5 linked regions of the Macaca mulatta genome follow. The protein of the gene in region 3 purifies or fractionates together with the protein of the main gene of each other region. This does not show direct contact. Links are inferred from orthologs where the notes say so. Each region holds a gene or a part of one and is shown on either strand. Other genes may lie near its edges.

What was found.
Region 1: the proteins of MAPK6 (region 3) and CEP170 purify together in Homo sapiens (affinity purification with mass spectrometry; 3 studies listed by BioGRID and IntAct, with this or other methods). This does not show direct contact. The link is inferred for Macaca mulatta from reciprocal best matches to the Homo sapiens genes MAPK6 and CEP170.
Region 2: the proteins of MAPK6 (region 3) and ECI2 purify together in Homo sapiens (affinity purification with mass spectrometry; 3 studies listed by BioGRID and IntAct, with this or other methods). This does not show direct contact. The link is inferred for Macaca mulatta from reciprocal best matches to the Homo sapiens genes MAPK6 and ECI2.
Region 4: the proteins of MAPK6 (region 3) and NEURL4 purify together in Homo sapiens (affinity purification with mass spectrometry; 6 studies listed by BioGRID and IntAct, counting the BioPlex papers as one, with this or other methods). This does not show direct contact. The link is inferred for Macaca mulatta from reciprocal best matches to the Homo sapiens genes MAPK6 and NEURL4.
Region 5: the proteins of MAPK6 (region 3) and ECH1 purify together in Homo sapiens (affinity purification with mass spectrometry; 3 studies listed by BioGRID and IntAct, with this or other methods). This does not show direct contact. The link is inferred for Macaca mulatta from reciprocal best matches to the Homo sapiens genes MAPK6 and ECH1.

What each region holds. Positions count from the first base shown.
Region 1 is NC_133406.1:5,892,768-5,897,290, reverse strand, and holds the start of CEP170 (centrosomal protein of 170 kDa), read right to left. Parts: upstream 3,105-4,523; 5' UTR 2,884-3,104; intron 1-2,883. Other genes in the region: SDCCAG8 (serologically defined colon cancer antigen 8), read left to right, coding at 4,018-4,084.
Region 2 is NC_133409.1:179,093,949-179,098,615, reverse strand, and holds the start of ECI2 (enoyl-CoA delta isomerase 2), read right to left. Parts: upstream 2,914-4,667; 5' UTR 2,894-2,913; coding exon 2,850-2,893; exon of another isoform or gene 2,747-2,849; intron 1,025-2,746; coding exon 862-1,024; intron 1-861. UniProt on the Homo sapiens protein: Able to isomerize both 3-cis and 3-trans double bonds into the 2-trans form in a range of enoyl-CoA species. Has a preference for 3-trans substrates.
Region 3 is NC_133412.1:29,311,825-29,316,332, reverse strand, and holds the start of MAPK6 (mitogen-activated protein kinase 6), read right to left. Parts: upstream 2,875-4,508; 5' UTR 2,705-2,874; intron 2,504-2,704; exon of another isoform or gene 2,086-2,503; intron 1,836-2,085; exon of another isoform or gene 1,738-1,835; intron 1-1,737. UniProt on the Homo sapiens protein: Atypical MAPK protein. Phosphorylates microtubule-associated protein 2 (MAP2) and MAPKAPK5.
Region 4 is NC_133421.1:8,811,109-8,813,774, forward strand, and holds part of NEURL4 (neuralized-like protein 4), read right to left. Parts: intron 2,516-2,666; coding exon 2,357-2,515; intron 1,999-2,356; exon of another isoform or gene 1,982-1,998; coding exon 1,802-1,981; intron 1,672-1,801; coding exon 1,584-1,671; intron 1,488-1,583; coding exon 1,380-1,487; intron 1,244-1,379; coding exon 1,099-1,243; intron 921-1,098; coding exon 808-920; intron 718-807; coding exon 552-717; intron 1-551. UniProt on the Homo sapiens protein: Promotes CCP110 ubiquitination and proteasome-dependent degradation. By counteracting accumulation of CP110, maintains normal centriolar homeostasis and preventing formation of ectopic microtubular organizing centers.
Region 5 is NC_133424.1:49,920,833-49,925,297, reverse strand, and holds the start of ECH1 (delta(3,5)-Delta(2,4)-dienoyl-CoA isomerase, mitochondrial), read left to right. Parts: upstream 1-1,533; 5' UTR 1,534-1,537; coding exon 1,538-1,604; intron 1,605-1,808; coding exon 1,809-1,992; intron 1,993-2,135; coding exon 2,136-2,224; intron 2,225-4,465. UniProt on the Homo sapiens protein: Isomerization of 3-trans,5-cis-dienoyl-CoA to 2-trans,4-trans-dienoyl-CoA.

The sequences.
Region 1 (4,523 bases), on a different chromosome or scaffold from region 3:
ATGCTTCAGTCAATATTATCTACTCACCAAGCATTCTTCAAATGGCATGTAACTGCTCTTTTGTTATACTTCCAGAATAATTTGCAACTGTACAGATATTTTAGTTAGCAATTAAATATCAGGTTGTCTGTCAGATACTTAGTTGAAAAGTACACTGCTTAACATCCCAGTGTTTGGGACAGATAAGAAAGAAAAGTCTTTACATATTAATTAGTATAGAAAAAATATTTTTCAGGAATAGAATTTTGTGGAATAAAAAAATTTTGACAAAAAAACTTAAGCATATACAATATTTAGTACTAGATGAGCATTATCTAATTGCAATCAGATACAATAATAAAACTAGTTCTTTTTTTCAGTAGATAAAAAGGAACAAGAAACTGATACTTAGAACAAATCAAACAAATCACGAAGCACAGAATTTTAAAAAGTACCATAGCAGCATTAATATGCAGAATGTATGCTAAGGTTTACAGTATAAATTTCACTATTCTAATGTTAAAATAGGGAACAGGCAGATTATTTCCATACAAAATAATCTCAGAACACAATGAAATTTACCAGTAAAATACATTTAAAGCATGATTGAATATAATTCCACACACTGAAATTTAGTTACACATTTTTTAAAGTTGAAATTTAAGATAAATAATAAATCCTTTAAAGAAGTCTATTAAAATGCAACATAAAATTAAACGATTAAAATTATAAGGCAAGAAAAGAGCACTTTATGGCAAAATCAACCCAATAAAAAACAAAGTCAATATATCTTAAAATGTAAATTCTAGTTTAAGTTGAAAGTAATCACTAATAACTCATTAATGATTACAACTCATTAACTGTGGTAAAATAAACATCACAGGCTCTTGTTATGCAGAAATTTTATTTTTAACACAGCCTATAGAGTTGATCATCATATTATTATAAAATACTATTGATTTTCAAGAAATAATACTAAAACCTACCATTAAGTAGTAGGGAAAACACTGCAACACTTCGTTTTTATGAAAAGCACATGTTAGGACATCTTTCCTCATTTAGTAAGTTACTTTATACAACTAAAGGTCCATTTCAGAAGAATTACTACTTTTACATCGCAGAGGCAAGAACTTGATTAATAACGGTGAGAATCAAGTTCAGTGATAGTCACAGCCTGCTCAAGGAGAGCGTAAAGAAGCTTTCCATACATTTTCACAGGGTAAAAGGGCTGGGGGGACACAGGAAAGATCACTCTGCAGAATGGACCTTGAGTTTCATTTGGCTCTGCCTTCCATTAACAGTCTGGCTTGGGCAGACAAGTCAGTTAACTTTCTGAGTTTTAGTGTCTTCCTCTGTCAAGTGCACTTGGGCTCTTCCGTGTTACCTACAAAGTTAGGAAGAGCTAAAGGCAGCCCTAGTTTTACTTTTTAAAAAATAATGACAGAAAAATACGTAACTTGCTATTCATCAGTGTACTGTTTCCAGAGCTGAATTCCTAAGTCTCTGAAGCATACCCAGCTAGGGTTATACCAGTGAAGATCCAGATACTATAGTCAAAATGTCACTCTCTCCTCTCCCATTATTCCTCCACCTGCTCCTCCCCATCCTGCGTTATCCTCTCTTCTGGTGTGTTTTAAGAAGCAACGCCAGCAAACGGCTGTATCCATTGTAAACTTGAGGATGAAATCGTTTTAAAAGATGCATTTTCAATCAAATGTATCATCTGCTTCGCCAAATTCCTCCCAAATGGCTAAATTTTCATTAATACAATAAAAATGAGGTAACAACTTCGGAAACAGAAATGACCTGGGCCAGTTGTTTTGTTTGTTCTACTTGCTTAAAAAATAAAACGGAAAGATGTATCTATTCCCTCAGGAACATAAATGCATTACCCGCCCATTGAAAAAACAATTCTGCTGGTTCATTTCCCTGACACAACAGCTTCGTTGTCAGGCCCTCTCCAGCCCAGGCTCCAATGTCACCTAGTAATTTTATATTGATCACCTTGGCAGTGCTTGGACTCCAGCAGGCATAGTCCCTGTCTCCCTTACATTCCTCAAAAATAAATTAAATAAATAAATAAAACTCTACGAAACGCCACTGAACAGAGATTCTGTGACTTAGTAGACAAATCCCACGTCTTCCCGCCCTGTGTTAGGCAGCTGCAAATGTTATTTTTTCATCGCTTGCATAAAATGGAAGCGAAACGTACCAAAACCCTATATTTGAATCCTAGGACAATGAAGCCGACAGGAAGCCACTCTCTCCTCCCCCGGGTTTACTACGGAGCCAGAGCCTCCGCGGGGTGCAGTCGCCTGGCAGGGTGCATGACAGCGCGTCTTCCACGCCCTCCCAACGCGTCCAAAAGGCTCCTCGCCTGACCTCGCCAACGGCCTCACACCTCAAAACCAACCACACAAAAGGGATCGGCCCGCGGAACTGCTCCAATCGGGGAAAAATCCCTTCCCCAGCGACAGCGCAGCCATTCCCTCCAATGCTCCGCCCGCACCCCTCGCAAACTGCTACGGCGGAAGGGGGAGGGCTGCACAAAGCCAGGAGAAAGCTGAAAATGAGTCAATGCACTTAGGGGACGCGGAGGCGGCGGCAAGGGACTCGGGAAAGCCGGGGGGCCGCAGGACTGGAGCTCCCGAGGGCGGCGGGTGGGGGATGGGAAGGGTGGTCCCGTCCAGACCCCGGTCCTGGGCGGGCAGAGGGTGGGGGTGGCGGCGCCGCGCGGAGCATCCGGGAAGCGCCCCCTTCGCGGTCCAGCCCCGCAGCCCCGCACCCCCGCCCCGCGGCGGGCCGCGCCCGAGTCCTCGCTGCAAACCCGAGGAGCAGGACGTGGAAAAGCAGCCGCGGCGGCGGCTGCGGCGCCTACACCGAGCAGCCGATCGCATCACTTACCCCTCACAGTGGCGAGAGGGACCGGACGGGGGAGGCGGGGCGCGTCGCGTCCCGTGAGTCTCTCGCACGCCGTCCTCCCCCCACCTCGTCGTCGTCGCCGCCGCTGTTGTCGTCGCTGCCGCTGCGGTCGAGCTCCGGGGCCCTCAGCTCCGCTGGGCAATAACGTTATTCCACACACGCCCCACACATAGCGGTAACGGCAAAGAGCGGCTGCCTAGTGCGCAGGCGCCTCGGGAAAGGGCGAGGAGCCGGACCCTATCCCCTCCTCCTGCCCAGTTCCAACGATTCCTTACTGCGCAGGCGCCAGACACAGACAATGAAAAGGGGTTGTGCGAGGGTCTCACCCACACGTTTTTCCAGCTTGCCCACTGCGCAGGCGTGCCCCGAAAGACCAGCTAGAACAATGAAGAGGACCTCGGAGTTAGGTGGGACCGCAACCAACAAGGACTACAGTTCCCAGCGGGCAGAGCGCCAACTCCAAGTGGAGGTCCGGTTACTGGGCATGCTAGGAGTTGTAGTGTCGGCCGCCTTTACAATTTAGGCTGTTTGGAGGATTTAGAGCTTCTATTTCTTGAGGATTTATTCGACCGTTAAAAAAAATACCGCAACCGAAGCAGGGTTCAGAGGTTCCTCTCTGCGTCCTTGAGTAACCTAGGGATCAACTGCTGCATATTAGCAAATTCGAAGCGTCAAGGCCTTCAGTGAACCCTTTCTGTCATTTGGGGTGGTCCAGGCGGCAGAAGAGCGGGATGGAGGCGGGACTAAACCAGGCTGGGCTGGAGGAAAAGGGCGGGGCCTGCAAGCCTGTCTCTTGGCAACAGGCTCTGGCAGCCCAACCGTCCGAGCTAGCGCTTGGTGCGCAGTGGTCTCTGGGAATTGTAGTGTAGCTGGAAGGCTCTAAAGATTGTCGAGCTTGGAGGCGCTGAACATGAGGACTACAACTCCCGAGGTCCAACGCGAGGGCCAGTGGGTGGGAAGAGCCCCCACGAGCTTCGTGCGGGATTCTAGGCTCCCCTGTGACAGCCGCGGCAGGAAGCAGGCCGGCGCTCCGCGGCCACAGGCCTGCTGTTTTCGGAAGGGAGAAAGCTGGACATTTCCCCACGTAACTCCCAGCTCTGGGCCTAGAGTGTGTGCATGGCGAAGTCCCCGGAGAACTCTACCCTGGAGGAGATTCTGGGGCAGTATCAACGGAGTCTCCGGGGTGAGTTGCTCCAAACCTCTGTCCCTAGCCCCGAGGTGCCCAGGGCCTAGTGGGCGGAAGCGGACCAGGTGCGTCTCCTAACACCTGGGTCTGCCCCATCCAGGCTACAGAGGAGCAAGATGGATGTTTGCTGTGGTCTTCTGAGGAGGATGAAGTAGTTTGATTTAGTTTTTACAGTTAAGCAACGATGTTTCCTCAGATTCCCTTAGTTACCTGAATCAACTCCTTGATCTTGGCATCCTTCTCAACCAGCGACAGCAGAGACTCTTGGATAGCTCTATGTCATTTTTGCCCAGTTCCCATACTTTGTTGTTTAATCCAATAAAAGTCTGATGCACAGTTTTTACACATTTAAATTATGGCATAGTGGATTGAATGTGATTTATAGGATCCGTGGGGGGAAACACTAATAATTATTTTAATCACAACAGCCCCCATT
Region 2 (4,667 bases), on a different chromosome or scaffold from region 3:
AACAACGATCAAATTGCCTTACTTGCTTCATCTCTCTCTCTTTTCTTTTTTTCTTTTTTTGACAGAGTTTTTGCTCTGTCACTCAGGCTGGAGTGTAGTGGCGCAATCTTGGCTCACTGCAACCTGATTCAAGCGATTCTCCTGCCTCAGTTTCCCAAGTAGCTGGGATTACAGGTGCACGCCACTACGTCCAGCTAATTTTTGTATTTTTAGTAGAGACGAGGTTTAACCATGTTGGCCAGGCTGGTCTCAAACTCCTGACCTTAAGGGATCTGCCCGCCTCAGCCTCCCAAAGTGCTGGGATTACAGAAGTGAGCCACCATGCCTGGCCTCATCTATCCCTTTCTTTCTTTTTTTGCTTAGAGAACTTCAACTATCCATTGTTTCACCCCTATATCCTTTAGTATGCACTTCTTAAAAATATCAACATTTTCTTATATAACCTTGACACCATTAACAATGATTTCTAGGTATCTTCTAACACTCTGACCTTATTCAAAACTTCCCCAATTATCTTAAAAATACCTTTTTCAATTGATTTATTCTAATCAAGAGCTAAATAAGGTCTACAAATGTGAATATTATATCTCGTAAGTCTCTTTTACTCTGGCATGACACTGAGGCACTTTGTGCCTTGATAATATTTCAAGGTCTAATATTAAAAAACTTGCGCGCATATACATACATACATATATATACACACACACACACATATATATATACACACACACACACACACACACTTAAGAGGGAGCAAGACAAACCCAAAATATTAAGGCTACATTTTAGTAAACACACAGTTTATCTACTTAAGGAGTCATTTGCCTAAAATTATTTAAATGTCAGACCGTAGGCATTTACCTGCTTATACAGTGAGTAGAGTTTTAGCTTCACTTCATTTCCTGGATCCTTCTTCAAGAGTTTCACTTGATTCATTGCATTTTCAAAGTCCTTCTGACTGGCTCTCATTGCTGTTCTATTCAGGTGCAGCTGAACTACTGGGAAACTAATGACCTGCAGAGAACTACAATTAGGCAGACTGATTTCTATATGTTCCCAACCCTCACATTTCTGCAGCCTGATTTCTAATTGTTCCCAACCCATACATACTAAAATGCTATGTTTGTCCATATTTTCTTTATACTTGCCTCTGCAAACTGGCTGCAAATAATTGGCTGTAAGGATTCCAAGATAGTAACTCAATACGGAAGCTAACAGTACTAACTTTAAATAAATGGAAAAGTAAATAACCATCCAGGGAAGTATTTGTAAGCAATTTAAGATAAAAACAGCCAGAACAGGAATACCATGTAAATTTTGCCAAAAGCAAGAAGTGAAGCGCATGCAAGACAGTGAACAGCAAGAGACCAAAAAGCTAAAGTGCACAGAATTTTGTAACGTGTCCCAAAGTCCTGAAACAGCCTCTGCACTCACTGATAAGCCATAAACTATATCAGGTCAATTCTTGTCTCTTTGCTGGAAAACCGGTTTCCAACATACACACAGGTGGAAGGAAGGGAGAATGGATGTGAATATACAAGAAATATTCAAAAGGGCATAGGAACAGTTGCTGGCATTCCAGACAGAGCCACAGCCTTCTCAGCAGATGGGAGGGAATCTACCTGCAGTGGAAGGGAGTCAGTGAAGGAGGAGGCTCAGCAGGCGTGCCTCCTTTTGTGGGGATGTTTAACCAGCCAGCCAGGAACAGAGCAGAAACAGTAACCACCGCGGGGTGACGAGCAGGTTTTTAAGCACACATAGTGAGCGGGGGTGGGGTGGCAAACTTCAATGCACAGGACTCAGGCAGGCCACAAGCAAAAAATGGATGTTCACGACGATGACCCGGAATAGTAGAGTTAATGGCATCAAAGATGATTAAAATAATACAGGTTACAAAGCCCAAACCTCACACACAAACACAATTACGTAACTCGAAAATGGTACAATGAACTCTAGGTTCAAACTTTGGACTATTAGTAACTGATTCAGTAAGATCAGCCTACAGTAAGTTTTATATTAAAATGATTTTCTGTAAAGGGAAAAACTGCATCTTATATGGCAAATTCCAAGTAGAAAACGAAAGAAAAATTTAAAATGTCCACAAAAAGAAGAAACGTCAAGTTTCCACAAAATGTGGAACAAATTATTTATTTTTAAATAAAGCGTGAGTTTTAAAAACAAATAGCAAAAACACGACCATTTAAGAAATACATAAAGTCGGGAAAATCACTAATAATTTTACCACTTCAAGGCCACCACCGTGTTTCGGTTTTGTTCCCTACACACAGATTCGTGCGGGGTTCCCGGGACCCCTGGGACGTGGAGCGTGCTGCTTAGCCGTGACTGCGTACCCGGCCATTTCACTTTATAGCATACGAGTTCTCCAAAGGGCAAAGAGTGTTAAGTCCACACGAGTGGTAACGGCTTGCGTTTACCTCGCTTTTAGCAAGCAACGCTTTGCACCCCAGAGGCAGCCCGGCTGGGAAGTGCAGGCCCGGGTGTCCGGGGAACCACCGTGCCCAGCTGGGGCGGCTCACCCGCCCGGAGTCCGGCCCCCGGAGGATGGGAGTGTGCGCGAACGCAGGCGGAGACCTCGGGGACTGCGGACAGAGAACCATAGCCCTGACCTCCCGACGCGCCCATCCTGACCCCTCTGGGCCCATCGGTGCAGGAGGGCGCGCGAGTGAGGTGGTTATCCTTTAGTACTGCCTCCCTGGAAAACCAGCAAAGAAAGTCCTGTTGCCACCTAGACAATAGGGAAGGAGGGTCTTCCAACGGCGATGACCTTCGCCTGGACAGCGGTATCCTGCGGGAGACCTTGGGCCGGGAGGCCGGGGCTCCAAGCTTACCTCGGACACCAACGCTGTGCAAGTCTCCAGGCCAAGTGCGCCATCGCTACCCGGTGGGCGGCTCAGGGGCGGGGCCGGGGCTCGGGGGCGGGGCCTGGGCTCGCGGGCTGCGGAGGTTTGGGGGTGGGGCCGGGGCTTGGGTGCGGGGCGGGGCCGAGAGCAGAGCCCAGGCAGGAGCCTGGGGCATGGGCGGGGCCAGGGTTGGGGCGGGGCCAGGCTGAGAACGTAGCCTGGCCGCTTTCGGCGTCAGTAGCCCGTGGGCGGCTCTGGGGCTGCGGGGGCTCGGGGGTGGGGCCGGGGGTAGGGGCGTGGGCGGGGCGGGGTCTCTAGGCGGTCAGGATCCGGGACTGAGATGCGGGGGCGGAGCCAGAGCGAGGCGAGGTATCACCCGGGAGTGGAGGAAGGGCGCGGGGTGCGGGGACGGTGATCCGGGGAGGACCTACGCGGCGCGTGGGGCGGGGCACAAATGCTCCCGGGCCTGGCTCGGAGGAACTGCGAGCTGGAGGCGCGGCTGTTCTCTGGGCGGACCTCAGCAATGCGAACCCTGCCGTTGCCGGAGCACTGAGTGCCCTTCCCGGAGTCCCGCGGAGCCTGGCGAGGAGGGGTCGCTGCATCCCGAGGGCCAGCCGTGAGCCGGGAGATGGGGTAACAATTGAGGGCGTATGCTTAAGAGCAGCTAGGTCATGCACCCCCAAATCGAAGATTTGCAGACCTGGTAGGACACCTGGGAATCAGAAGTGATTTTTGGAGTATGCAACTTTTTAGTGTCAGTTAAGAGTTCGTGGATATTTTTGAGTTCTGCTGAGGCATATGCAAAGTATTTTCTTTGGGGAAGAATTCTTAAGAGTTGGAAGGGCCTTGGCTGTGTCACCTTGTCCAGTTCCCAGAGAACCAAAAAACAAAACAGAACAAAACAAAACCACCCCTCTAAATTCTGTGCCCAAGTTGTCCTATCCAAGCATGCCTAGGCGTTTTAGTATTAGGTAGCTGACACTTGTGGACCATCGATAGTGAGCCAGGCTAATTGTAAGTCTTTGGACAACCCTGTAAGGAAAACGATATTGCCCTTTTGAGCTGATGTGGAAATTGCCCTGTTGAGCATATTGCCCTGTTGAGCTGATGTGGGAACTGAGACCCAGAAAGATTAACCTGGTGAATTCCCCAAAGACATGAGGCTTGCAGGTGAGCAGAATCCAAGTCTCAAGTAACTTTAGCAGTAAGTTTCATCAGATAGATCTGGCTAATAGTGTAGGTAGGGCAACACCGAAAGTCAAGTAGAACAATTTGGGCTTATCCCAAAGCCTTTCTCCAGATATATTTTTTTGTTTTTTTGTTTTTGTTTTTGAGATGGAGTTTCCCTCTTGTTGCATAGGCTGCAGTGTGATGTCACAATCTTGGCTCACTGTAACCTCCACCTCCGGGTTCAAGTGAGTCTCCTGTCTCCGGCTCCCGAGTAGTTGGGATTACAGGCATGCGCCACCAGGCCTGGCTAAATTTTTTGTATTTAGTAGAGATTGGTCAGACTGGTCTCAAACTCCTGACCTCAGGTGATTCACCCGCCTCGGCCTCCCAAACTGTTGGGATTACAGGCGTGAATCACCACACCCGGCCTCTCCAGATATTACAGAGTGGTAGTTGGTAGGCAGAGCTGCCTCTCTCAGAGACCCTGACTCTCTCCAAGGCTGTTAGGTGACCCTCAGAGGTAATGGAAATGCAGTAATCAGATATTGCAGATAATACAAGACTCACTCATTTCCAGAAGATGAAACGGCTGTCGTGGAAATATTTTTAAAATCTCGTACTGGTAAGCATATTTTG
Region 3 (4,508 bases):
CTCAAGCGATCCTTCCACCTCAGTGGAATCCCAAAGTGCTGGGATTACAGGTGTGAGCCACCGCACCCAGCCCCACTCTTAAACTGCCATTCTCAATCTTTTTCCCCCTCTCAATCTTATTTTAAGCCAACTTGCTAAACGTTGCCTGTTTTAAAATCAGTCAAAAGATGTATCTTATTACCAAGTTTCAACTTAAAGTTTTAAATTTGGAACTGTACATTCAGCTTATCTTAAAAAAAAATGAAAAATAGTGCCTAATACCTATTTCAAATTGTCTTTATTAAAACAGAAAATTCACATAAATCACAAAGCACAACATATAATCATGTTTTAATAATTCCATGAGAGTGAAACTTTCATATTCAGAGCCATATCTGATTAAATATTAAATATAAAGATAACTCACATAACCAATAAAAATATAAGGTCAATTTCTAACGACACCATAAAAGTACTATCTGTCCTTTATAAATAACCTGTAACAAATCTCTCTCAGCAGTAGCCAAAAACCTGTTAGTATCAAACATTTAATTTCAGCACCTGACCAGCAATTGGTTTTACCTTTCCTCTCAGCAAACGTTACACAATTCCACCTGTAGGGTATAGGATATCCTTTTAAAATGCAATTTAAGAAGCCATTACTTTATAGAAACTGCTGTTCCTCTTCAGAAAAAAATGAGAGAGAATTTCAATGTGGACAGGAACATTTTAGCCTATCATTTAAAAAAAAATACAATTTAAAAAAAAAAAAAGCCACGTAGCAGTCCGTGGGCAGCATGAGTCATCATCCAACTCAAAACTTGCAGCAGCACTTGTAAGCTTCCTCCTACCCGACCCCATCCCCTTCAGCAAAGGACCCTGAGTCAGCAAACCTTACTATTTTGTCAGTTGATTCTCACGATGCTTTAAATGAATTTATGTAAAGCACTGCAACACTTTTAGTGCTAACATTTGTCTTTAGAATGAGTGCATTTTTTTAATTGCAAAATTAACTTACTTCAGATCACTCTTCTCTGGATTTTTTAATCACAAGTAGCCAACGACTACTTCTAATCCTCTTTTGCAAATAACTGAATTCCAAAATATCCTCATATACGAAGTTTTTCCTAAAATATTCTCCATTTTCCAGTGTTTTCTTCTGAACAGTAATACCTAGGTGATCAAATATGTTCTGCTCAAATCTGGCATATTTTCTAGATTAACTGCAATTACTGAATTCAGGACATCAATAAATAATTTGACACGCTTAACAAGGCAATTCTTAATAAATGATGTAACATATGTGAAAAGACTTTACACTCCCTGGCACATAGCAAACACTTCATAAACATGTTTGAACAATTACTATCTAAAGACAAAGTTTCTTTCACCCAATTCAAAATTATTTTTTAAAAATTAAAATCTGACATTTCTATGAAGAAATTCCTGATTTCAGGGCCAGGCCCTGTTTGGACCCTACATTCTTCTGGTCAGATCATTCTTTCCATCTCGGTTTTCCAGCGTTAAAGAGAGAGGACATGCCCAATCGGAACTGTAAGAGACAGGCTAGAAGAATCAGCCATCAGAAAATTACTCTGAAGCTGCTTGCTCTTCATTGTACGGCATGTTAATTTTTCCCCTTGACAAATCATCTGTATCCGTTAAAATTAAAAAAAAAAAGTCATTACTTAGACTGCATCTTTAGCAATGAACATGAATTACGACGTTAATACAAGTCGGCTTCTAATTCCAACTCACCAGTCCCTTTCACTGGACCTTTTCCAATGAACAAGCAAAAGAAAAAATAAAACAGGAAAGGAATCGAGAAGCTCCTGCTGCACAGAGCTCCCCCGTAACACCTGAACCGGTTGGGTCCTACACTCGTCAATAAACAAAAGGTTGCCAAAACACCTTTACTTTTCGACACAACTCACAAGGCGGACTAAAATGCACAGCAAAGTGACAAGGCCCTTTCTGGTGAACCGACAAAACAAGCTTTCATTTGGGCACTTTCACAGAACACCACTTAAGGTCCCGAAAGAAGCTAAGGCAAGACTGCAGGGCCGGGGGAGGAAATTAGGAATTTCGTCTCCGAGTTTTCAGTACCTCATTCATGGCTAGACTCAAAACTTGGGCGGACTTCAGGGCTCTGAGGCGAGCCGGGAGAGCGCTGCGCGCTACGCCACTGGAGACTTTGCCCGGCCGGAGTCAGCTGAGGCCGAGTCACCGGGTGGGACGGGGGAGGAGACGCGGGAGCATTTCGAAAGGCAGAGTGCCAGGAAGGCGAGACTCCACGCCACCTCATGTTCCCCGGGCCGCCGCCTCTCGCTCGCCCGCCCTCCGGTCCGGCTGGGTTTCGAACCCGCGGAGCCGGGCGCAGGTGGCGGGGCGGCAGCCGGCGTGCGGGGCCAGGGAACGGGCTCAGCCCGGCAGGGCGACCGGCGAGGGGCGTGCCGGGTGGGAGGGGCCCACTGGCCGCCTCGCCGGCCCCACGCGGAGACCCCGGCCCGCCGCCCGCCGGCCCGCGCGGGGACGCGCCGGCCAGGCCCGAGAGAGCGGGCAAGCGGACGAGCAGGGGGCGGGCGGCAGACCAAACAAAAGCGCCTTTGTTGAGCGGCAGCCGCCGGAGGGTCACACACAATGGAGGAGGGAGCCGGCTCCGCCGCTGCCGGGCCCGCCGCGGCGCCCTCCCGAGCCGCCCCGCCGGCGCACCCCGCACACGTACACACACACACTCACGGGATTTCTCCGACTCATTGAGAGAGTGCGGGACCCGCGGACAGCCCCCAGTGTCGGCTCAGGTCTCCGGCTGTGCTGGCAGCAGCGGCGTCTCCGAGGCTCTCGCTTTGCCGCAGTCGCCGCCATGTAACCCCGACCCGCGAGAGAGGGCGAGGGAGAGGGGGCGGGGCCTCGCCGTGCCACGCCCCCTCACGTCACAGGCTCACTCCACGGGTTCTCCCGCCCCCGCCCTGCCCAGCGCGCCCGCACGCGCCGGAATTTCCAGCGCCCGTGACTGGGCTGTGCGCGCCGCGGGGGCGGTGGGAAAGGCACGCGGCTAGTCCTGCGCCTCCGGGGGCTTTGCCTGCGGGCGGGCAAGAAGGAAGACAGCCGGGGCCGTCTCTGCTCCACTACCTGCCCCGGCATTAAGGGAACAAAGTGACCAAACCCAGTGCGAGCGTTTACTAAGCACCTACTACGTGCAGAGCACTGGGCAATCCGAGAGGAAGAGGCCTCAGTCTCCAGGAAGGCTGGTCCTCCAGATGGATTAGGCTGGAAGGCGGCAGCCGGAGCACAAGGCAGACGCGTCCGAGGCCAAGTACTGAGGTCATTCATTCTGCCAGAGAGTATGCAGGAAGGCTTTTAGGAGAGGTCGCCACGGGTGGCCTTTCAGCTAGATCTTGGAGGAGCGGATGTAACCAGGAGGTGAAGGGGAGGGTGTTTCTGCCGAGAGAACAGTGTAAGCAAAGACTGGGAGGCCAGAGTACCTGCCTTGTTGCAGGAACTGGGATAGGATAATTTGAATTTGAAAATGGATGCACTGTGAAACGTAGAAAGGTGGATGGGTACCTTCTTGGGCCCACTTCTTGGCTAAAAGCAAACTTACATTACTTTTAATGGCATATTGAGTCCAAGGAGCCTTTCCAGTGTTTATGTGAAATTTAGTATTTATGAAATTAGAGATGCAGGTCAGCATATTTTTTCAATGACTTCATCACCATACAATGCCGATGAGAACCATACAACAGCCCCTTAGCCATTATTATGGGCATCTTCAAGAGTGAGGCAAAGGCCACTTCAAAAAAAATCACAAAGGGCCGGGCGTGGTGGTACACGCCTGTAATCCTAGCACTTTGGGAGGCCCAGGCGGGCAGATCACCTGAGGCCAGGAGTTCGAGACCAGCACGGCCAACATGGTGAAAGCCCCGTCTCCACTAAAAATACAAAAACAAGCCAGGTGTGGTGGCTCACATCTGTAATCCCAGCTACTCGGGAGGCTGAGGCAGGAGAATCGCGTGAACCCCGCGGGGGCTTGCCGTTAGCTGAGATCGCGCTACTACACTCCAGCCTGGGCGAAAGCGTGACACTCCGTCTCAAAAAAAAAAAAAAAAAAAAATCACAGAGTAATGAAGTTAAGTGGTTGGGGTGAGCTGGAATGCTTTCTATTTTTTAATATTTAAAACAACGTCAGCTGAGTACCAGGTGTGAAGAAGAAGTGATGAGTGAATAAAACCAAGAGAAAGGGGAGACTTATTGCAACCGCAGAATTTCCAACTTCTGCAACAAGAGCTCTTACCTTCAGCCCCATTGCCCCTGCTGTAGGCTCTCCTCTGATCCTAAGGACATTTTTCCTCTCACTGTTTGAGAACTCATTTACCTTCCTCTTCCGTCAATGTTTGATCACCCAGAGAAGGTGGGAGAATAAATACCAAGCACTGTGCCTTCCCTCAAGGAGCGTTTAATCCAGTGTCACTGCTGACTTCGGGTAAATAACCTGTGGATAATGCAAAGTTGGCTTACAATAGTAAGGG
Region 4 (2,666 bases), on a different chromosome or scaffold from region 3:
GGCCGGGCACGGTGGCTCACGCCTGTAATCCCAGCGCTTTGGGAGGCTGAGGCGGGTGGCTCACGAGGTCAGGAGATCGAGACCAGCCTGGCCAACATGGCAAAACCCTATCTCTACTAGAAAAATTAGCCGGGCTTGGTGGCACACGCCTGTAGTCCCAGCTACTCAGGAGAATGAGGCAGGAGAATCGCTTGAACCCGGGAGGTGGAGGTTGCAATGAGCCGAGATCATGCCACTGCACTCCAGCCTGGATGACAGAGCAGGACTCCGTCTCAAAAATAAATAAATAAATAATAAATACTTATTATGTATGAACATTATAGAGAGAAAAGGCAGAGGTTCCACAAGAGCAAGGTTCCTTTTCTTGCCCACTAGAAGAGTATATAAGTGGTATTTGTTCAATGAATGAAAAAAGGGCTGAGTTGGAGACTGGCAGCTAGCAAGAGGAGGTGAGAAAAGGGGAGGGCAAATCATGAAGACCCCAGTGGCTGCGCTCAGGCCCTCTTCATCCGAGCCCCTGGAGATCTCTCCCCACCCCTCCCAGTACTCACTGCACTTTGGAGGCCAGGGTCTCGGCCCCAGCATATTGAAGGGAGGGGGAAAGCAGCACAGGAGGGGGCTGCTCCTCCCGAGGAGGTGCACAGTTCTCGCCAGGCTCCTCGAACCCTACCCCAGGCTCTCCCTTCAAAGGACGGCAGCTCAGGATGGAAGCAGTACCTGGGAGGAGAACTGGGTCAAGATAGCCCTTTTTATTCCTCCACAGCCCCCCAGGCTCAGCCCACCTTGCATGGGCCTGCTCCCCAGTACCTGCTCCCAGCTCCCCTCGGTCCAGCACTCTCCGTACAGCTGCAACATTGCTCCCATGATAGGCCATGTGCCACTTCTTGGTTAGTGTCCCAGCCTCCAGGCGGGGATTCACTCTACGAGGTGGACAAGCAGGGCAGATAGAACGAAGGACACTGGCTCCCCAGTGGAGGAGCTTCACGAGGCTCTTCCTTAGGCAGGAAGTTCTATCACTTCTTCCATGCACCTTCTTGGGATCTCCATTTCTCCAGGGGGAAAACAGTAGGGGAAAGGCATGACCCTGCCCGTATGTACCTGAGGTTGAACCTGCACCAGCCAAAGGGCAGTGCGTATTCCCGGGGAGGCTCCCCTCTGCGCCTGTGGGCCTCGTCTCCTCGCAGCTTCCGGCAAGACTCACAGTAGCACAGGCTTCGCTTTGGCGGAGGCATGAAATAATCTTCTGCGGGACAGTAAGTAGCAGGCTTGGTGCTGTGGCTCCCACCCTTGATCTCAGCCACACTGGCACCCTTCAGCTGCTCTCCACGGCTCTGGGCCTGGCCCTGGGGATGAAGTCGGTTCTGGGGACCGGGACTCACCAGGAAGCAGCAGGAGTTCTCGGAAGCGAGAGCAAAGGGCATGGTACTCGCAGCTCTTTAGAGGACTAGCGGCGGGTGGTGGGCCCCAGCACACACTCTCTTTGATACCTGAGGGAGCAGAGGGGCACAGGTCACAGGAGTTAGGCTAGAAGGGTAGGGGCAGGGGAGTAGGGGCAGGAGCGGGGTCCCTTTGGGCTGGCACACCGTCCACCATGTCTGCTTTCTCCATGTCCCCTTGGGTTCCAGCACTTTTCCCACTGGCAGCCCCTGGCTCAGGGTTCACGATTGTCACCTGCAGGGGAGAGGGTAGTCAGACAGCTTGGTCAGACCCCAGGGCCTGATGATTCTGGAACAGAGACTTCCCCGTCCTGGATGGCCCAGACTCTTAGGCACCCCTCCTCCCTGCCCCCACTGCCACTAACCTGCTCACACTGCCCATAGAGGTCCACAAGCGCGTGGCAGGGCTGGGGCACATCTGGTACAGCTACCCCCTGGTCCACCCCATTAACGTGGAGATGCAGCCCCCCAGAGCTGTCCAGCCGCAGTCCCAGGATGGTGCCTTCAGGGCACGTGTCCAGATTCGGCCCAAACTTCTCACAGATCTGGGAGGGGAGACCGGCTGTCTTCCAGAGGTCACACTCCACCACAGCAGCCGTCCTGCCCTTTGCTCTGCTTCCTGCTGCCAGCGCCTTGGCTTTGCCTCCACGCTTGCCTGCTGCCGAGACTCTCCTCCCGCTGCAGTTACCTAGAGCCCCTCCTCTTCCCCAAAACTGGCACATTCTCAACGGCAGGGACACCGCAGGAAGCAGCAGGCCTAAAACTGACCAGGCAACGCCACTCACCCTTGCCTGCCCATTACTGTCCCCCTTTTACACCTGTGGTCCTACCTCCAAGGCTAGGGGCCCACTTCTCCCTTCTGGCCAGCCCTTCCCTACACACAAGCCTGGTCCCGCCCCTTCTCTATGGCTCCTACTCACCTTGAGACCGTTGTGGAAGACCCCGCGGCCCCGCAGCAGCCAGGCTGCCCGTTTGAGGGCACAGGCAGAAGCAGGGAAGTTGAGCCTCTCAGGCGCGCAGGTGATGACTCCCAGGACAAGGGAAGATGTCCACTGTCGGTTTAGGAAATCTATCCGCACCTGGGGAAGAAGGAACTACTCCATAATCACAGCCTCCTGGGAAGAACCAGGCTCGCTACCCACCCCCCCCCCACCCCCCCGCCAGGGAGGGAATACTGCACCTCCCAGAATGTGGCCTGGGATGCTGCCTTTTCTTATGCATGGAAGGACC
Region 5 (4,465 bases), on a different chromosome or scaffold from region 3:
TCTGTGCATGTCCAGCATGTCCAGCTATACTTTTTTTTTTTTTTTAAGACAGAGTCACTCTCTCACCCAGCCTGAAGTGCTGGAGCGCAGTGGCATGATGTTGGCTCACTGCAACCTCTGCCTCCTGGGTTGAAGCAATTCTTCTGCCTCAACCTCCCAAGTAGCTGGGATTACAGGCACCTAACACCACGCCCCGCTAATTTTTTTTTTTCTTTGAGACCAAGTCTCTCTCTGTCTCCAGGCTGGACTGCAGTGGCGCTATCTAGGCTTACTGCAAGCGCCGCCTCCCAGATTCACACCATTCTCCAGCTTCAGCCTCCTAAGTAGCTGGGACTACAGGCGCCCGCCAACACGCGCGGCTAATATTTTGTATTTTTAGTGGAGACGGGGTTTCACCGTGTTAGCCAGGATGGTCTCAATCTGCTGACGTGATGCACCCGCCTCGGCCTCCCAAAGTGCTGGGATTACAGGCGTGAGCCACCGCTCCCAGCCAGCAGTTTTAAAGTACTTTTTATGCCTTCGGATAGCTGGCTTTTACCAAGGGAGTTTCGCTTTTTTTTTTTTTTTTAAGAACATGAACTTTTTTTTTTTTTTGAGACGGAGTCTTGCTCTGTCACCCAGGCTTGAGTGCAGTGGCGCAATCTCTGCTCATTGCAATCTCCGCCTCCTGGGCTCAAGCCATTCTCCTGCCTCAGCCTCCCGCTGGGATTACAGGTGCCGGACACCGCACCCAGCTAATTTTTGTATTTTTACTAGAGACGGGATTTTGCCATGTTGACCAGGCTGGTCTTGAACTCCTGACCTCCCGCCTGCCGCGGCCTCCCAAAGTGTATTACAGGCGTGAGCCACGCGCCGGCCTAAGAATATGAACTCTGGAACCATGTAATCCTACTTTAGCCCTTCTGAAGCCCAGAGACCTTGAACCTCGTGTCTTCCCGTGCCTGAGTCAGTTTCCTCTGCATATAGTGGGAAACAGTACGACCTCCCGGTGGGAGTTCATATACAGTCAGCGCTTAATGTTGGCTCGTCTGTACTCATTCCTTTACGTGGGTAAACTCACAGTAATGCAAGTTTTATTTTTAGTTAACATGATATATACACATGCATGATGACAAGCTCTGCTGCCATTATGTCCTTGGACGTTTCAGCTGTCGCCAATTATTCCACCATTATGAAACAGCGGTGTCATGAACTTTAGCAGGAGCTATTTTCTTTTCCTTTTTGGACTGAGTCTCCCAAGCTGGAGAGCTGGAGAGCAATGGCTCTATCTCGGCTCACTGCAAGCTCCGCCTCCCGGGTTCACACCGTTGCAGGAGCTATTTTCTCAGGCCAGGTTCCCACTGGGGCAAAGGGTCCTTTTCTGAGCTTGGCTCTAACTATGTAAGGCAACCGGAACTCGGCTGCCCTTAGTAAAGATGGCGGGGAGAACGGCGTCTTTGCCTGTCAGGCTGCGGCATCGGTGCCCTCGCTCAACATGGCGGCCGTTTGTGCCCGCCCCTTCCGCTAACTGGTGGGTTACTCGGTCCCAACGCCGTAGATGAAGGCGGCGGCGATGGCGGCGGGGATAGTGGCTTCTCGCAGACTCCGCGACCTACTGAGCCGGCGTGAGTCACCTCTTGACTTATGGTGGTGTATCGCGCTGTCGTGCTGTTATAGCAGCTGTAGGACGGGGAGGCCCATCCGGGGTCACGAAGGGCCCGAGTCCCCTAAATTCAGGGGTGCGTGTGCTCCCTTTTGAAGGGCTCCCTAATTCTATAGGCCTGTGTCTTGGAGTCTGGGGTCATCAAAGGCTCTTCCTTTCTCCGCAGGATTGACAGCCTCCAACTACTCGGGCCTCAGTATTAGCCTTCGCCTCACTGGCTCCTCTGCACAAGAGGAAGCCCCAGACCACAGCTATGAGTCCCTTCGTGTGACATCTGCGCAGAAACACGTTCTGCATGTCCAGCTCAACCGGCCCAACAAGAGGAATGCCATGAACAAGGCCTTCTGGAGGTGTGACCTGCAGATCCTGGAGGCCTGCCTGCTGGGGGAGGCGGGGGCTGCGGGACTGAGCCAGAGTGGAACCTTGTGGGGAGATGGACATGAGGGCAGGGTATTCCCACCCCATTTGTAGCCCTTCACTCGTTGCTTCACAGAGAGATGGTAGAGTGCTTCAACAAGATTTCGAGAGACGCTGACTGTCGGGCGGTGGTGATCTCTGGTGCAGGAAAAATGTTCACTGCAGGTACCAGACGCTCTTCACACACCCTACCAGCCTTCCCAGCTCCTGGCAATAGACAGTGGAGCAGTGCTTCTTAATTAGGATTTTAAGCAGCTTCTAACTTACACTTTTTTTGCTGTTCGTTTTGTTGTGTTTGTTTGTTTTGAGGCAGGGTCTTGCTCTGTTGTCAGTCTGGAGTGCAGTGGCGCAAACTCAGGTCACTGCAACCTCTGCCTCCCGAGTTCAAGCAATTCTCCTGCCTGGGACTACAGGCGCGGGCCACCACGCCCAGTTAATTTTTGTGTTTTTAGTAGAGACGAGGTTTCGCCATGTTGGCCAGGATGGTCTCGCTCTCCTGACCTCATAATCTGCCTGCCTCAGCCTCCCAAAGTGCTGGGATTATAGACGTGAGCCACCACTCCGACCCCTAACTTACAGTTTTATCTGTTTTTTGTGTGTGTGTGGTTTTTTTTTTTGGGAGACAGGATCTTGCTCTGTCACCCAGGTTGGAGTGCAGTGGCCTAATCATAAATCACTGTAACCTCAAATACTTGAGCTCAAGCCATCCTCCCACCTCGGCCTCCCAAAGTGCCAGGTTTACAGGCAGGTGCCACCAGCCCTATCATTTTTTTTTTTTAAAGGCCTAATTTAAAACATTCAAATATGAAAATTAGTCCAACAGAACATGACGGGATCATAGGCTCTGAAGTCTGGGTTTCCATCCTGGATCTATGGCCATGAAGAACATGCTTAACCTCTCAGTCTATAGCTGTGTCAGCATATAATATAATAACATGCTTTCATGCAACTCTGCAACTCACTCATTGATTTCCAGTTACAGGTCAGTTGGATCTTTGGATTGACCCACTGACCTGTTCTTCAGATGGGAGAATTTCCACTGATCACAGTTACTGACTCTTTCCTCATCTCTGTCCTCCTGTAAAGCCCACCCAGATTTTTTCGTTTTGTTTTGTTTTGTTTGAGACAGAGTTTCGCTTTTGTTGCAATGGCGCAATCTCAGCTCACTGCAACCTCTGCTTCCTGGGTTCAAGTGATTCTCCTGCCTCAGCCACCCGAGTAGCTGGGATTACGGGCGTCTGCCACCACGCCCAGCTAATTTTTTGTGTTTCTAGTAGAGATGGGGTTTTACCATGTTGGCCAAGCTGGTCTAAAACTCCTGACCTCAGGTCATCCATCCGCCTAGGCCTCCCAAAGTGCTAGGATGACAGGTGTGAGCCACTGCGCCCAGGTACCACCCACTGATTTTAAATTTCAGATATTGTAGTTTTCAATTCTCCAATTCCCATTTGGTTCATTATTTATTTATTTATTTTGAGACAGAATCTCGCTTTGTCACCCAGGCTGGAGTGCAGTGACACAATTCTGCTCATTGCAACATCTGCCTCCTGGGTTCAAGCAATTCTCCTGCCTCAGCCTCCTGCGTAGCTGGGATTACAGGTGCCTGTCACCAGGCCTGGCTAATTTTTTTTTTCTTTTTTGTAGAAGGACTCTCACTCTGTTGACTAGCCTGGAGTGCAGTGGCACAATCTCGGCTCACTGCAACCTCCACCTCCCAGGTTCAAGCCATTCTCTTGCCTCAGCCTCCCGAGTAGCTGGGATTGCAGGCAACCGGCACCATGCCCGGCTAATTTTTATATTTGTGGTAGAGACAGGTTCTCACTGTTTTCGCCAGGCTGGTCTTGAACTCCTGGCCTTCAGTGATCTGCCCACTTCAGCCTCCCAAAGTGCTGGGATTACAGGAGTGATCCATTGTACCTGGTCATTTATTTATTTTTTGTCATGCATGTTTTTTTTTTTTTTTTTTGTGAGACGGAGTCTCGCTGTGTCACCCAGGCTGGAGTGCAGTGGCCCGATCTCGGCTCACTGCAAGCTCCGCCTCCCGGGTTTACGCCATTCTCCTGCCTCAGCCTCCGAGTAGCTGGGACTACAGGCGCCCGCCACCACGCCCGGCTAGTTTTTTGTATTTTTAGTAGAGACGGGGTTTCACCATGTTAGCCAGGATGGTCTCGATCTCCTGACTTCGTGATCCACCCGCCTCGGCCTCCCAAAGTACTGGGATTACAGGCTTGAGCCACCGCGCTCGGCCTCATGCATGTTTTTCTTCCTGCCATTGAGCATAGTTATAATGACTGATTTAAAATCCTTGTCTTCTGGCCGGGCGCGGTGGCTAACACAGTGAAACGCCATCTCTACTTAAAAAAAAAAAAAAAAAATCTGGGCGCCGTGGCTCACGCCTGTAATCCC